Mus musculus: one gene and its partners. The protein of the gene in region 1 interacts with the protein of each later gene in a pairwise test. Links are inferred from orthologs where the notes say so. Each region holds a gene or a part of one and is shown on either strand. Other genes may lie near its edges.

What was found.
Region 2: the proteins of Sh2b1 (region 1) and Insr interact in binary tests that used the Homo sapiens proteins (3 or more experiments, as listed by UniProt). The link is inferred for Mus musculus from reciprocal best matches to the Homo sapiens genes SH2B1 and INSR.
Region 3: the proteins of Sh2b1 (region 1) and Ntrk1 interact in a two-hybrid assay, tested with the Homo sapiens proteins (2 studies listed by BioGRID). The link is inferred for Mus musculus from reciprocal best matches to the Homo sapiens genes SH2B1 and NTRK1.

What each region holds. Positions count from the first base shown.
Region 1 is NC_000073.6:126,471,904-126,476,333, reverse strand, and holds the start of Sh2b1 (SH2B adapter protein 1), read left to right. Parts: upstream 1-1,203; 5' UTR 1,204-1,338; exon of another isoform or gene 1,339-2,855; intron 2,856-3,239; 5' UTR 3,240-3,322; coding exon 3,323-4,261; intron 4,262-4,430. UniProt on the Homo sapiens protein: Adapter protein for several members of the tyrosine kinase receptor family.
Region 2 is NC_000074.6:3,276,710-3,281,467, reverse strand, and holds the start of Insr (insulin receptor isoform A preproprotein), read left to right. Parts: upstream 1-1,850; 5' UTR 1,851-2,339; coding exon 2,340-2,439; intron 2,440-4,758. UniProt on the Homo sapiens protein: Receptor tyrosine kinase which mediates the pleiotropic actions of insulin.
Region 3 is NC_000069.6:87,792,255-87,796,918, reverse strand, and holds the start of Ntrk1 (high affinity nerve growth factor receptor precursor), read left to right. Parts: upstream 1-1,756; 5' UTR 1,757-1,774; coding exon 1,775-1,986; intron 1,987-4,664. UniProt on the Homo sapiens protein: Receptor tyrosine kinase involved in the development and the maturation of the central and peripheral nervous systems through regulation of proliferation, differentiation and survival of sympathetic and nervous neurons.

The sequences.
Region 1 (4,430 bases):
GCTGCTAGTCTTTTAATCACTTAGCTCTCTTTCCAGCAGTGTGACTTATTTACATTTTATTACCACTTTGTTTATGTGTATGTGATGGGGGGGGGGTATCACACATGTGTGGTGTGTGTGCCATGTTCTAAGTCAGAAGCCAACTTTCCAACATCCTTTCTCTTTCCACAGTGGGTTATGGGGAGGGAATTCTGGCTAATCAGGTTTGCATAGAAAACACAAGCACTTTTACTGAAAAGGCATCTCACTAGCCTAATTCTGAAAATTTTATTGATGATCTTAGAAAGAGTGATACTCCTTACACTGAGTTGCTTAACTATTAGGATTTAAATTTGAATCTATGGAAAACCATCTTGCCACACCAAGAAGACTAGAGCCCCTCTGTGGGTGAAAGCGACCGACCGCACGAGTAGAGTACAATCACAGATGACAAGCTATAGACATAATCTTTTGGGCCCTGTCAATGATCCCAATCTACTCTGGCCTTTTCAATTACTTCAGCTGTAGTGACGCTGGATCAATGCGAGCTTGGGTTGCTAGAAGGTATTTGTGCGCAAGGTCTCAACAGCACTTTGTACCTTACTTCGTCATCCCTCTAACTTGCCCTGAAGCCTCTCTTGAACTTCAAGCTCTATCTCTATGTACCTACTGATGACCCGCAAGCATGTCCAAAACTGACCTCACTATTGCTGTCCCAACTTTAGTTCCCGTCTAAGGTAGAGCCCTCCAGGACCACCTTGTCCCTTTCCCCTAAAAGACCAAGGTCGTTAAGTTCAGGCTCCGCCCACTCCACTCGGCCTCCCAAGGTCACCGCTACATCGCTCGCCAGATCCCTGGGGGCGGTGTCCGTGTACCCCTCGATGCAGGGCCAGGCGCTCTAGGCTGCAGCCAGCTCTTCAAAGAGCTTTATCATCTCGCTGATTTCTTTTAGTGGGCGGCTACTCTCTCCGCTCAAGTGGCTTCTCTATGGTTAACTTCTCGCCTTTGTCTAGAATTTGCTTCGGATGACGGACCCAACGCCTTCCCACAGCTGCCTCAGTGGTTCCTTTTAGGTACAACTGCCGAAGCCACGGGAGCTTAGTGAGACCTGTGTTGGCGTAGCTCCTGAAAACCTCGGCGCCGAGAACGATGGCGGAAGTGAATACGAAGGTGCCCTCCTTCTTACTGCTCTTCTCTATGGTCGCTTCCTTCCGCGTCGGGGAACCCGTCCCAGCGCCTGCGCAGAAGCGCGTGCTGGGAGCCCGTCGCGGAGGCGGGGGGCACAGGGAGCGGGAGCTGCGGCCGTCGCCGCCGCCGCCGCTGCCGCCGCCGGAGCTAAGCGCGGGGACCGAGATGCAGGTGGGACCGGAACCGGAACCCCCCTCTTCAAGTGCCTCTTTCCTCTCCGGACTCGACCCTGTCGTCTGAGAAGCCTGGGCGGGGGTGGGCGTGGGGGCTCGGGGCTGGAGGGGTGCTCGGCTCCCGAGAGGGCAGCAGATAGTTGGTCCCTCGGAGGCTCCGGCCCAGGGGCTTGTGGAGGGTGTCCAACGACTAGGATCGGGTCCGAGTGATTAACCACGGGGCCCGGAGGGTCCGAACCTGGAGCGCAGCCTGCACCCTCCACCACCCGCCCTTCTGGAATGTCAGAACTAAGCCAAGAGGCAGGTGCACCGGAAAACTGTGACTGAGCCGTCTTGGCAGAAGAGAAACTGAGTCACCAGTCCAGGAACCGCAGGGTCAGCGGGCCTGAAGGGGGCTGGGTCGGCCAGTAGTGCTGAGGGCTGGGTGGGCCTGTGTGAGCCGAGGTAGCCTCTGGCTGGGGACTGTCTCTGCCGTGCCTGCGCCTCTTGGCCCCGATTCCCCTGTGCTCTGTGACTCCCGCATCTCCTGGCTGCTTCTCCCTGGTTTGGAGTTGTCCCTGTGGTTGGAGCCATCGGAGTATGTAGGAAAGGCCAAGGAGGAAGGGGAGGGGGGGGGGGTCTCTGACTTGCAGCTTGGTTGTAGGCTTGATGAAGAGGCTGGCATCACTGATAGTTTGGGTAGACTTTCCTGAGCCGTCCAGAGGTGTCTCCTTTCAGTCGATCATAGGGCAGGACCACTCACCAAAGAGCCACCGGTTGTAAATTACATATGGAGCTCTGTCACTTTCTAGCTGTGATGTAAGAGTTGGGGCACCCGCAGAAGCGCTTCCTTTCTGGAGCGCAAATGGGACCCATCATACTGTCCTCCCCCATAAAAAATAGTTACAGTGGCAGTGATGTCTTGTGTGCTTACTGTGGAAAGCATAGACATGTTCCTTGTCATTTCATTTCTCCTGACAACTGTAGCAGGTAGCGGTTAGTAACTGTGTTTTACAGAGACAAAAGCTAGGTTCACACAGCTAACAGGTGGACTGAGCTGGGGCTTGAGTCCAAAACTCACAGGTACACTCCCCAGGGAGTGAAAATTCCTGAGCCCCGGCTCCGTGCGATGCCTTACTTCTGTGGCTAGTAAAGACTTGTCCTGACCCAACACACCATCTCTTTTTCTCTAGCGCTGCTATCACTCAGCCCTAGACTGTAGGGGCAACCCAGAGATTGGCCTTCAGCCAATCCAAGTCTTCCCACAGGGCTTAAGTGCTGGGTTATAGGATCAGCTTCGAAGACAACTGAGCCTTCAGTCCAACTTCCACTCATTGGACCTATGATGCAAGGTCTTTAAAGGGTGTAATCCCTGCACCCTTTGGTCCCCTGAGAACAGAGCAGTGGGAGCTGTGGTCGAGGCTGGTCCAGCATATCCCTGGAGACTAGAACTGTGCAGTGGGAAATGCGGTAGACTCTGAGTTCTGGAACTTGTTTGAATCTCTGTTTGAATCTCCGTTTCCTCATCTGTAAGAGGTTAGTAAGTTGTCTAAGGAAAGGTAAAATGACCTTGTAGAGCCCTCTGGAATGGCACACTTAAAATGTGTGATAGTTAGGGAAGGTTTTGTCTTAGAGAAGGGATGGCAGTGATCTTAAGAGTCCCCTGTGGGGTAAGATGCTCCAAGGCCCTTTCCTGGGTCCCACAACAGGGAGAGGGGTGACAAAGGCAGCAGGATTGGGCTTAGCATCCTTCATCCCTGGGGTATATGAGGGTTATTGATCTTGAAGAGGGCAAAACAGTTTAGTTCTCTTCGCCTGTTGCTCTCTGAGGAGCCTGGAGGGGAGTCCCTGGCCTGGGCTGAGATATAACTCAATCTCACTTCTACAGTAACTCAGTGTATGTGCCTCTTCTTTCTACAGCTGTTGCCGCACATCCCGTGTCTTCTGGCTGCTTCCCTATTTGTTCCCCGCAGGCTTCCCTTGTCCTCCTCCTGGGGCCCATCATGAATGGTGCCCCTTCCCCAGAGGATGGGGTCTTCCCTTCTCCGCCAGCGCTGCCACCACCCCCTCCCCCAAGTTGGCAAGAGTTCTGTGAGTCCCATGCGAGGGCAGCTGCCCTGGATCTTGCCCGACGTTTTCGCCTCTACCTGGCCTCCCACCCACAGTATGCAGAGCCGGGAGCAGAGGCCGCTTTTTCTGGCCGTTTTGCTGAGCTCTTCCTGCAGCACTTCGAAGCCGAGGTGGCTCGGGCCTCGGGCTCACTCTCCCCACCTGTCCTGGCTCCATTGAGCCCTGGTGTGGAAATCCCACCATCACACGACCTGTCCCTTGAGAGCTGCAGGGTGGGTGGGCCCCTAGCAGTGTTGGGCCCTTCTCGATCTTCTGAGGACCTGGCTGGCCCCCTTCCTTCCTCAGTCCCTTCCTCTACAACATCCTCAAAGCCAAAGCTCAAGAAGCGCTTCTCCCTCCGCTCAGTGGGCCGTTCAGTCAGAGGCTCTGTTCGAGGCATCCTGCAGTGGCGGGGTGCCGTTGACTCGCCCTCCCAAGCTGGGCCTCTGGAGACCACATCCGGCCCTCCAGTTCTAGGTGGAAACAGCAACTCCAACTCCTCGGGTGGTGCTGGGACAGTTGGTAGGGCATTGGCTAATGATGGCACATCCCCTGGGGAGAGATGGACTCATCGATTTGAGAGGCTGAGGCTAAGTCGTGGAGGGGGAACCCTGAAAGACGGAGCAGGAATGATACAGAGAGAAGAGCTGCTGAGTTTCATGGGGGCTGAAGAGGCTGCCCCTGACCCAGCAGGAGTGGGTCGTGGAGGAGGGGCAGCTGGGCTGACCTCAGGAGGAGGAGGGCAGCCTCAGTGGCAAAAGTGTCGCTTACTGCTCCGGAGTGAAGGAGAAGGAGGAGGAGGAAGTCGCTTGGAGTTCTTTGTACCACCCAAGGTGAGCCCACAGGAAGGTGGGTAGCTGAAAGTGACAGTGGCTGGAGAGGAGGCTCAGCTCTGCAGATAGCTGTGGGGTTACTAACCCACATACACAATATTGCTGTCCTGGGTTCAGTGCTAACTGTGGGCTCTCAGTTGCCATGGGGGGATCTGAGACCAAAGAACTA
Region 2 (4,758 bases), on another chromosome or scaffold:
CAGGAGCACATTTGCATAATGCAAGGACCATGGGCCCGGTGCTAAGGATTGAACCCAGGACCTCATGTGTGCTGGGCAAGTGCTCTACCAAAGAGCCACAGCCCTAGGCTACTACTTAAAAATATTTTTGAAAAAGCATTTATTTATTTATTTATTTATTTATTTATTTATTGCGTGTGTGTACAGGCACCTTTTCTGTGGGAGCTCAAGATTGAACTCAGATCTTCAGGGTTAGCAACAAGTGCCTTTACCTGCTGAGCCATATTGTCAGGTCCACTCTTATTTTGTTTTCTGTTTATTTTATTTATTTTTAAAGTCAGGACCTCATGTGTTCCAGGCTAAGCTCCAATCCTGATCCCCCTGCCTCTACCTTGTGAGTAAAGACATTAAAGACCTGCTTCCCAATGCTTGGCTCTTTGTTTTAGCGCTCTCTCTCTCCTCTCTCTCTCTCTCTCTCTCTCTCTCTCTCTCTCTTTCTGTTTATGTATATGTTTGTATGTGTGTGTTTATGTGTGTGTGTGGTGTGGTGTGCTAGGCCAAAGGTTGACCTTAAGTGTCTTTCTCTATTGCTTGCCACTTTACTTTTATTTTTACCTTTTTTTTTACAGATATTGTCAAACCCATTGCACAGACCAGCAGCCACAGTCCGGGTCTGAGTGAACATGTGAAGCAAAGGATAGAGGACTCTGTACTGCACATATTCCTAAGGCACCGACAGGGTTAGCGCCTCATGATGTGGTTGAGCAGGGCTGCTAGTGAATGGCTTTCTTAGACATACAGCCACCTACTGGTATGTGTGTTGAAAATGGAGTTATGTCTGCTCTGATCCTATATGAAGTTTCTAACGTGTTTCTAGAAGCCTTGTTATGTTCTTCTAGAGTCATTTCCTTATTGATTTCTGCTGGAATTCAGTGCTGGGTGGAGGGGGCGCAGGCCAGGGAATACAGGCTGCCTGCATTGTGGACACGTGGCTGTGGCCTGGAAGCTGGTGCCTCCAAGCTGCTGGGCGGGAGCTCACTGGGGAGGGAACTTGTTGGGCGCCTACTAGCTCCTCGAGAGAGCCAGGGTTGGGAGAATCTCGTAAGACATTGGTAGCATAGGCTGTAAAGAAAAACAGAATCAAAGGTAAAGAATTAAAGTGAATTCCCCACGGGAGTCAAAAAAATAGTAAAAAGGAGTAAAGAAAGACAAAATGTGCTTGGTTGAATCTGGCATCTAGGGGCATATTGGGGTGTTTATGTCCTGGGGTATCTGGCGGCATTTCCAGACTTTAAAATTGTTATTTCGGGGTAATTTGGGGTGTCTAGATCTGGCGGAGATCTAGAGTGTGCTCCAGACCTTTAAATTGGAACCTCGGTGTTACTTGTGTTTGCTGCAGTCAGGAGGGGACCTGGGGGCGTCCCTAGGCTTTTAAACTGGAACCTCAGGCCTGTTTAGTGGTTTTCGAGTCAGGCGGGGATCTGGGGACCCCTAGGTTTTAAAATCGGAACTTTGGGACTCTTTGGGGGCGTTCGTGTCAGGTGCGGATATGGGCAGCTCCGGACGTTTGACAGGTGAGTCTTAGAGTTGTTTGGGTGTTTATGTTACACTGGTATCTGAGAACGCTTACAAGCTTTTAAATCGTAATCTTTCTAAGCCAGCAGTTCGGGGTGTTGGGATTGGAAGAATCTGAAGTGAGCCTCGGGTCTCTGAAGTTGCGGGTTTTACGGGGCAAGGGGGCAAAGGGGCCGAGGAGGCGAGGAGGCGAGGAGGCGTGGCGTTGCCAGCTCTGGCCACGCCTCCCCGAGCTCTGCTGGCTTTCTCCCCCTCCCCCCCCAGCGGGCCTCACTGGAGCGCACAGTCCCTTCCCTGTCTTAATCCGCGCCACCTTTTCCCTTGGCCCGCGCGGGCCCAGCTGACGGGCTGCGTTGTTTACGGGCTGGAGTCGAGCCCTAGCTCCCGCCGCCACCACCAGCCCAGGTGCCCTCCAGTGCGCGCGTCCCTCTGTCTCAGACTCCACACAACGCGACCCACCCAGAGCTGCACGGAGGGCAGAAGCAGGAGACCCGGACAGGAGACGCACCGCGGTGAGCTCTGGACTCTGGGATTGCGGGCACGGGACCGGGCCTGGGTGACCTGCGGGCCGCGCCACGGTGTTGCTTGCGGCCGAGGCCTCTGTGCTCTTCCCGGGACTGTCCCCAGGGCCCTCTAGGCTGGAGAGCTGCGGCCTGTGAGCCACGGGCGTGGAAGAGAAGGACGTGCGGCCCCGAGCGCCTCTCCAGAGACCTTCTCACGGAGTATGTCCCCAGTAGGCCGGCGTGGCGTGCTCTGATCGCCGGGGTCCCAGCACTCCTACTGCTATGGGCTTCGGGAGAGGATGTGAGACGACGGCTGTGCCATTGCTGGTGGCCGTGGCCGCGTTGCTGGTGGGCACAGCCGGCCACCTGTACCCTGGAGAGGGTAAGTCTGGGACAAGAGGCGATCACAGTATGTCGGGGACACTTCTCCCACCGCCCCAGCCAATCTAGAACCCTCACCCTAAGGAGTGAGGGTCGGGGACACCCCTCTCCACCGCCACAGCCAACCTAGAGAATTCTCCCTTTGGGCTGAGTAATGGGGACAACCCTTCCCATTGCTCCATACAACTTAGAGCCCCCCAGGCCCCACCAAGGAGTCAGGGTTACAGACACCCATTTCACCACTCCAGCAATATAGTCCTTTCACGAGAGTTGTGGACATTTCTCGTTCTTCTTCCATCAACCTAGAGCCCCCTCTCCACGGACTGAAGGTTGAAGACTCCCGTAGCGTCCTTGTGTCTATGAAGAGTCCCCTCCCTATAGTGATCATCTTTACACTGGGGAAGGGGAAGAGTGGGTTTGGTGGCCCTGGCCCTGCGTGAAACCCCGGCTGACCTTGGCCTTTGCTCACTGGGCTTGTGGCTCTGTACCCCGCGTGTGTCCATCTCGGGTCTGAGGAACCTTGCCCCAGTGCCCGCCCAGGCTTCGGGTGTCTGTCCCCAGTGCACCTCTCAACTGTGTCTGTTCTTTTCTCTAACCCCAAATCTGTCCTCTGAGGCTCTTTGAGGTTGCTTTAAGTAAGTATGGTTACTGGGTTGCAACAGATTCAGACATCTGAGCAGTTTAAACCCAAAGCCAGGGGTATCCTCTTCGACGGAGGACACTTGTTGGAGAATCGACCCCTTGTGGCTGCTATGTTTATAATTCTCTACTTCCAGATGTCTAGAGGCAAAGTCTGCATACCTTTGGCCCCACAGCAATCATAGTAACAGTAGGGGTAGTTTTCAGGATGGTTATAATTAGAATGATTATGAGTCTCCAGGCTGGTTAGCGCTAGAACCTCCCAGTGTTCCCTGGAGGCCAACATAGTTACATACCCATTTCAGAGAGGGCTAAAATGAGGTTCAGTTAGCCCATTTGTTCAGAGGCTGGTCTTATAGTTCTGTGCTTGGTTATGGCCAAGGCAGGAGGATAGCGAGTTGTTTGAAGCAAGCCCAGCTATTGAGTGAGTTTTGAGGCTAGTTAGACACTGTTTCAAAAAACATGCAATGACAAATGTCTTTTGAGTTACTGGTTCAGCTTTCTCTGAAAATGGAAATTAATTACAATAGGGAAGGGGTCAAGGAGAGAAGGAACTGCCACGCTTTTGTGAATGAGGGAGATGTGTGTGTTGGGAGGAGGGTGCAGGATTATGGAACAGGTTGGGTTGATCTTGTGGAGTGGGTCTGCTAAACTGGTAATGTCTCTGAGGCCCCCAGGATCCGATATACAGAAGGTACTCAATGAGGAATGGCCATTGGTTTGGTTTGTGCCCGAGTGCACGTGTTCGTGCGTGTGCATGTGTGTTCGCGTGTGCACTCCTGTGCCTGTGTGTTTGTAGAGGACCTAGGTTGACATCCAGTGTTTGTCTCTGTCACTTTCAGCCTTGTGTTTTGAGTCAGGGTCTCTCAATGAACCTTGAGTTTGCTGATTTGGCCGCACTGCCTAGCCTGTGAGTGCCAGTTCCCCCTCTCCCTTCACCTCTTTTTATCACTAGAGTTATAGATAGATGTATGCTGAAGTGCTGGCTTTTAGGTGGGTGTGGAGAGATCTGAACTCAGGTTTTCATGCTCGGGCAGCAAGTGCTTTGACTTACTGAGCCATCCATCTCAGTAAGTAAAAACGGAGCCAGTCCATGGTTTGGGTTCTTATTAGAAAAATCCAAGATTGTTAACATCTACATTGCTCTCTGAGGCCTTAAGGAAGTAGGGTTATGTTGTATATGCACCTGTGCACTTGGGCGCATAGTGTTGTACCTTGAGCTCTGCTTTTACATTTTTTGGTAATTGATTGTTTGTCCATGTCTGGACTTCCTGAGCCCAGGAGACAGAGCTTCTGGGGGCTTTTAAATATACATGCAGTGTTCACAAGGATAGGGCCTGGTGTTTGTTCCTCACCGATGTTAGAACCTGAGCAGTGCTGGACACATAGTAGGTGCATATAAACATTGTTCCCTAATGGCACACAGAAAGCCAAGACATTGGGGTTTGTGCAGTAAATATACTGGGTGTGTGGCCAGAGTGTAGCCCTCCCTGTGCACACACAAAATCCCTGGGTTTCATCCCTAGACTTACATAAACCATGTGTGGCGTTGTATGCCTGTCAGCAAGCACTCTGAAGGTATAGGCAGGTCTATCAGGAGTTCAAGGTCATCCTGGGCCAAGTTAGTGATTTTGAGGCCAGCCTGAGCTACGGGTGACCCTGCCTCAAACAACAACAAGAA
Region 3 (4,664 bases), on another chromosome or scaffold:
CAGCTCCCGCCCTTTCCAGAAACGGATTGGTTTACGCCGCCGCCCGCCGACTTCTCTGTTCTCTCCGCCCCTCCCACCAAGTCAAGGGAAAATATTTAGCCTGTCAACTGAGGGAGGTGGGGGACAGATGTGTTGGGGAAATAAGGTTGGGGGCCAAGAACTGAGCTCTGGAACCCCTCTCTCTGTCTCAGTTTCCCTCTCTCCCCCATCCCCACCCCCCCAACCCGCTCGCTGCAGATCTGGAGGGAGCGGCTGGGCTCCCTGGCTTGATTTGCAGGGGAGTTCTGGAGTCCAACAGGTGTTTTGACATCTGCGGGGTAACTTCCCGCAGCCTGGACAGGTCGGACTCCACTGGTGAAACCTGAAGACCTCACCACTTCGACCTCACCACTTCGCCTCTCACAGCCCTTCCCAGCCTCCCGAGGCTACTTTGAACATACTTCCTTGGCGCGGGGTATGTCCCCGTCAAATCCCTTGGTTTTGGCTCAAATCCCTAGGAGACGAGTCGTTCTTCTCTCTGTGAGATTCCTCCTTCATTTGGTTACTTTTTTTTTTTTTGGTTTTTCGAGACAGGGTTCCTTTGTGTAGCCCTGGCTGTCCTGGAAGTAGACCAGGCTGGCCTCGAACTCAGAAATCTGCCTGCCTCTGCCTCCCATGTGCTGGGATTAAAGGCGTGTGCCACCACTGCCTGGCTCCATTTGGTTACTTTTAAGAACTCAGGATGCTTAGTGGGTCTCTATATATGTACTTATTCGGGGCCACTTGGAGGACAATTCATGATGGGATGATCTCTTAAACGCGACACTTATACGTGCAGTCAAGAAGGCCATTGCGCAAGACTTGCCATTTAGTGGCCTGGATGCTGGGCCTGAGACTTCCCAGGTTCACAAATACCGTGAGCCGATGGTTCCCAGCTCCCACGTCCGAAGAACTAAGAGATCTATTAATTTCTCCGCACAGAAATCGATGCTCTTGTCAGGACGGCGATCGATGCCAAGCTTGGTCTGCCTGGCCATGGCTCGGCTCTGGGGCCCCAGATGGATGGTTAGGATTGGGAACTGACCCTAAGACCAGAGGCACAGCTTAGAAAGGCTCAGAACTGCTCTTCTCCGCCCTCGAAGCCCCAGGCCGAGCGCAAACGCCGGGCGCGAGGGCTTCTAGCGCCACCCTGTGGTCTTTTGAGGACCGAGAGGTCTCCACTTTCCAATCTTCCTCCAATTGTGTTCTAAGGACTCTTCTCTCCCACTATTTTTCTCCCCAGGTTCTGCATCCAGCCATGCTGAGGCCCTCTCCCTTTCCTTACTAGGGTCTGGAGAGCGTTCACCTAACTTATTCCAAGTGACATGCACACCCTCTTAAGTAAAGTGCACCGTGAGGCTGGCTGGGATGACCTGGACTTCAACCCTTCCCTTGCTCAATTTCTCCACTTCCCCGCAAATCTGAAAATGCAGCTGTTTTACTGTGAGAAATAAGGTATCAGCTTCCTAGCTCCCCCAGCCTCAGAAGACACTTGTGAGGCAATCTATGGCAGCCCCCCGCCCCAGGTCTCCTGCAGCCGCGAGGGACATTAGGAAGGCGAGCTGGCATTAGGGCCTCAAAAGGGGAGGGGGCACTGGGGGCATTGGCAGGCGGGGCGGGGCGGGGCCGTGGGTGCCGCCCTCTCCTGGTGGCTAGTCTTTAACACCGCCCCGCGCACGTGTCGCGCGAGGCCGGGCGGCGGCAGCTAGGAGCGCACGGACGGCTGCGCGGCCCGAGCAAGGCGGGCGCCGCCGCGATGCTGCGAGGCCAGCGGCTCGGGCAGCTGGGCTGGCATCGCCCGGCCGCGGGGCTAGGCAGTCTGATGACTTCGTTGATGCTGGCCTGTGCCTCCGCCGCATCCTGTCGCGAGGTCTGCTGTCCCGTGGGCCCCTCGGGGCTGCGCTGCACCAGGGCAGGGTCCCTGGATACCCTCCGCGGCCTGCGGGGCGCCGGGAACCTGACGGAGCTGTGAGTGTGTGTCGTTCGGGGGAGGGGTGCGGGGTCAGGAGGGCACAGCCCTTCCCCGAGGGCGCGCACTCATTCACCTCTGGCTTGAGGGGTCAGGCTTGGCTGCTGTAGGAGACTGGCACGTGTAGCCTTTGGCTGTGCTGCGGCGGCTTCTCCCGCTGCCACCACCCTGGCAGAGCCGCGCAGTCACTGTCTGGATGTCGCTCAGGATTAAGGGTAGCTAACTGTGGTGCTGGTTTGGGGTAGAGCAAGACCGAAACTAGGTGGATTAGGCATTGGTCCAGCGATCTAGGATAAGAACCTTTTTGTGGGGTTCAATCAAGAGCCCAAGTTCCTAAGCCCATGGAGGAGTGGTTAGCTGTGCAGAATTTGGCAGTGTGGCACCTTTGCTATCTTCTTTTACTTAGGGGGAAGCCAGCCCCCAACCTCTTCCTTGTCATGCAGGGAATCCAGCTCTTCTCTGGATTTGTGATTGAGCTGGAGTTGGTGGGAGATGGTGAGGAACCAGCTTGGTGTCTGAGCTCTTTTTTCCTTTCCACTGACCACAAGTCTCCTTGATTTGGATGCGGGAAGCAGGGAACGAAACCCCTTTGCTTCTCTCTCTGCTCACCCATCTCTCCTTTCACCTTTGTCTCCCTTCTTGTATCAGGGAGTCAGGGCTGTTGCTGAGTGATTTTCCCATTTTCCAGGTCCAGAGCTGGGAGGAACCTTCAGCTCTGCAGTACTTAGACAATGTGCAATAATCGGTTACAAAATACTCAAGTACTTTGTAGCAGCTAGTGAGACCTTTGAGAGTATAATTGACCTGAAGGAACTCCGCATCACACAGTGATGGCTGGAAAATACTTGAGTATTCTGCACGCTGGTGGAGCTAGCAGCCTGCAGTGATTGGCACCGAGTTACTCGGGCATCTTGTGGTAATTAACGGAGGTACTCAATCTCTTTCTAATGGCCCTAGGGAGACCAAGAAGAGAGGAGATGGCCTTGTCTTGGTCTGGGTCTAGGCTCCTGCAGGATGGGATGGGGTTTGAAGTCTAGATGGTTACTCCCCGGCCTGTCCATTCAAACCAGAGTCCAGCCTCCTGATTGTTTCCATCAATGTTCTCGTTCTTCAGAGCCTTTCAAGACTCCAAGGGAGTCCAGCCCAGGGACAGGGGTAGTGGGCAAGCCTAGATTATTGAGGAAGAGGCTGGCAGGGTGGTGAGCTGAAATGTTCACCCCCCTGGGTGGGGCCTGATCCTCCCAACTCCTCCTGCACAATCCTCTCCCTCCTCCCTCACCCGCATAGCTAACAGGGAGCTAATGGACTCAAATAGACAGATTGATTATGAATCTGAACAAATGAGGCGGCATGAAGCACACACACTGCCTGACAGCTCACACATACCCGGCTACATAGATCTTCTTAGCAACTCCCTGGGTCTCTATAGCTTGAAACCCTTGGGGGCAGAACAGGGATCTGGACTCCCTCAACGTGGCTAGCAACAATTCCTTAGAACTCCAGGGGGAGGACAGACACATAGCCATCCTATGGGGAACAAGGCTGGGATCAGGGAAGCACAGGGTCCCTTGGACTGACTGGTTCCCTTACTCCTTTTTTTTTTTTTTTAAGCCAAGGGAAAGTTCCCAAACAAGTCTGTCTGTCTGTCTGTCTGTCTTTTGCCTCCCTGGTTCTCAGCCCTTATCTCTGTCTTGGGGTCTCCATCTCCTTATCTGTGAGTCCATCCACTCCAGGATCCTCTCTCCCTTCCTGGGTCCCTCACGATTAAGGAGGGGCTCGGGGAGCGCCCAATGGCTCTATGCTTCTTGCTTGGTTTGGCAAAGTGCTGGAGAGGAGAGAGTAGGGGTTGCTGTGGGGAAGAACCAAAGGTTTTGAGGGGGAAGAGTTCTGAGAACTGTTAGTGAGTCAAGAGCCCCTAGCACACGCAGGGATGGGGAAAAGAGGAGGCCATGGACATGCCCCCACAGAGGACATGTCATTACAGGGGAGTGTGTTCACAGGAACTCCAAGATGCCAGAACTACAAGATAGGACTGCGCCCACAGCCACTCCACCCCAAGGGCTGCTTGCTCTCTGTCTGTCTGTCTTTTGCCTCCCTGGTTCTCACCCCTTATCTCTGTCTCAGGGTCTCCATCTCCTTATCTGTGTCTCTTTCCTCCCCGCCCAGCCCACTGTCTTCTTACTGTCAGTCTCTTCTGGGGTTTTCACTCTTTGTTTATCTGCCCTTGCTCTGCCACCCACCTCCTCCAGCCTTCACTGTCTCACACTGTATCTCCGTCTCTCTTCACCTCCACACTCAGAGTCCATTCACTCCAGGATCCTCTCTCCCTTCCTGGGTCCCTCACGATTAAGGAGGGGCTCGGGGAGCGCCCAATGGCTCTATGCTTCTTGCTTGGTTTGGCAAAGTGCTGAAGAGGAGAGAGTAGGGGTTGCTGTGGGGAAGAACCAGAGATTTTGAGGGGGCAGAGAGAGCAGAGTGTATTGTGTGTATGTGTCTATGTGGTTGGTGTCAACGAACCCAGATGGTAGCCACAGAGCAAGTACGTTTAGGAGCACACAGTAGCATGACAATTGGGACGTCCTTAGCATTTGAGTGGAGCAAGTACCTCCAGGAGTCTTGTCCTTTGTGGAGGCTAGTCTCAGCATAATTTCCTATCATTGAGCATATATATGCTGGA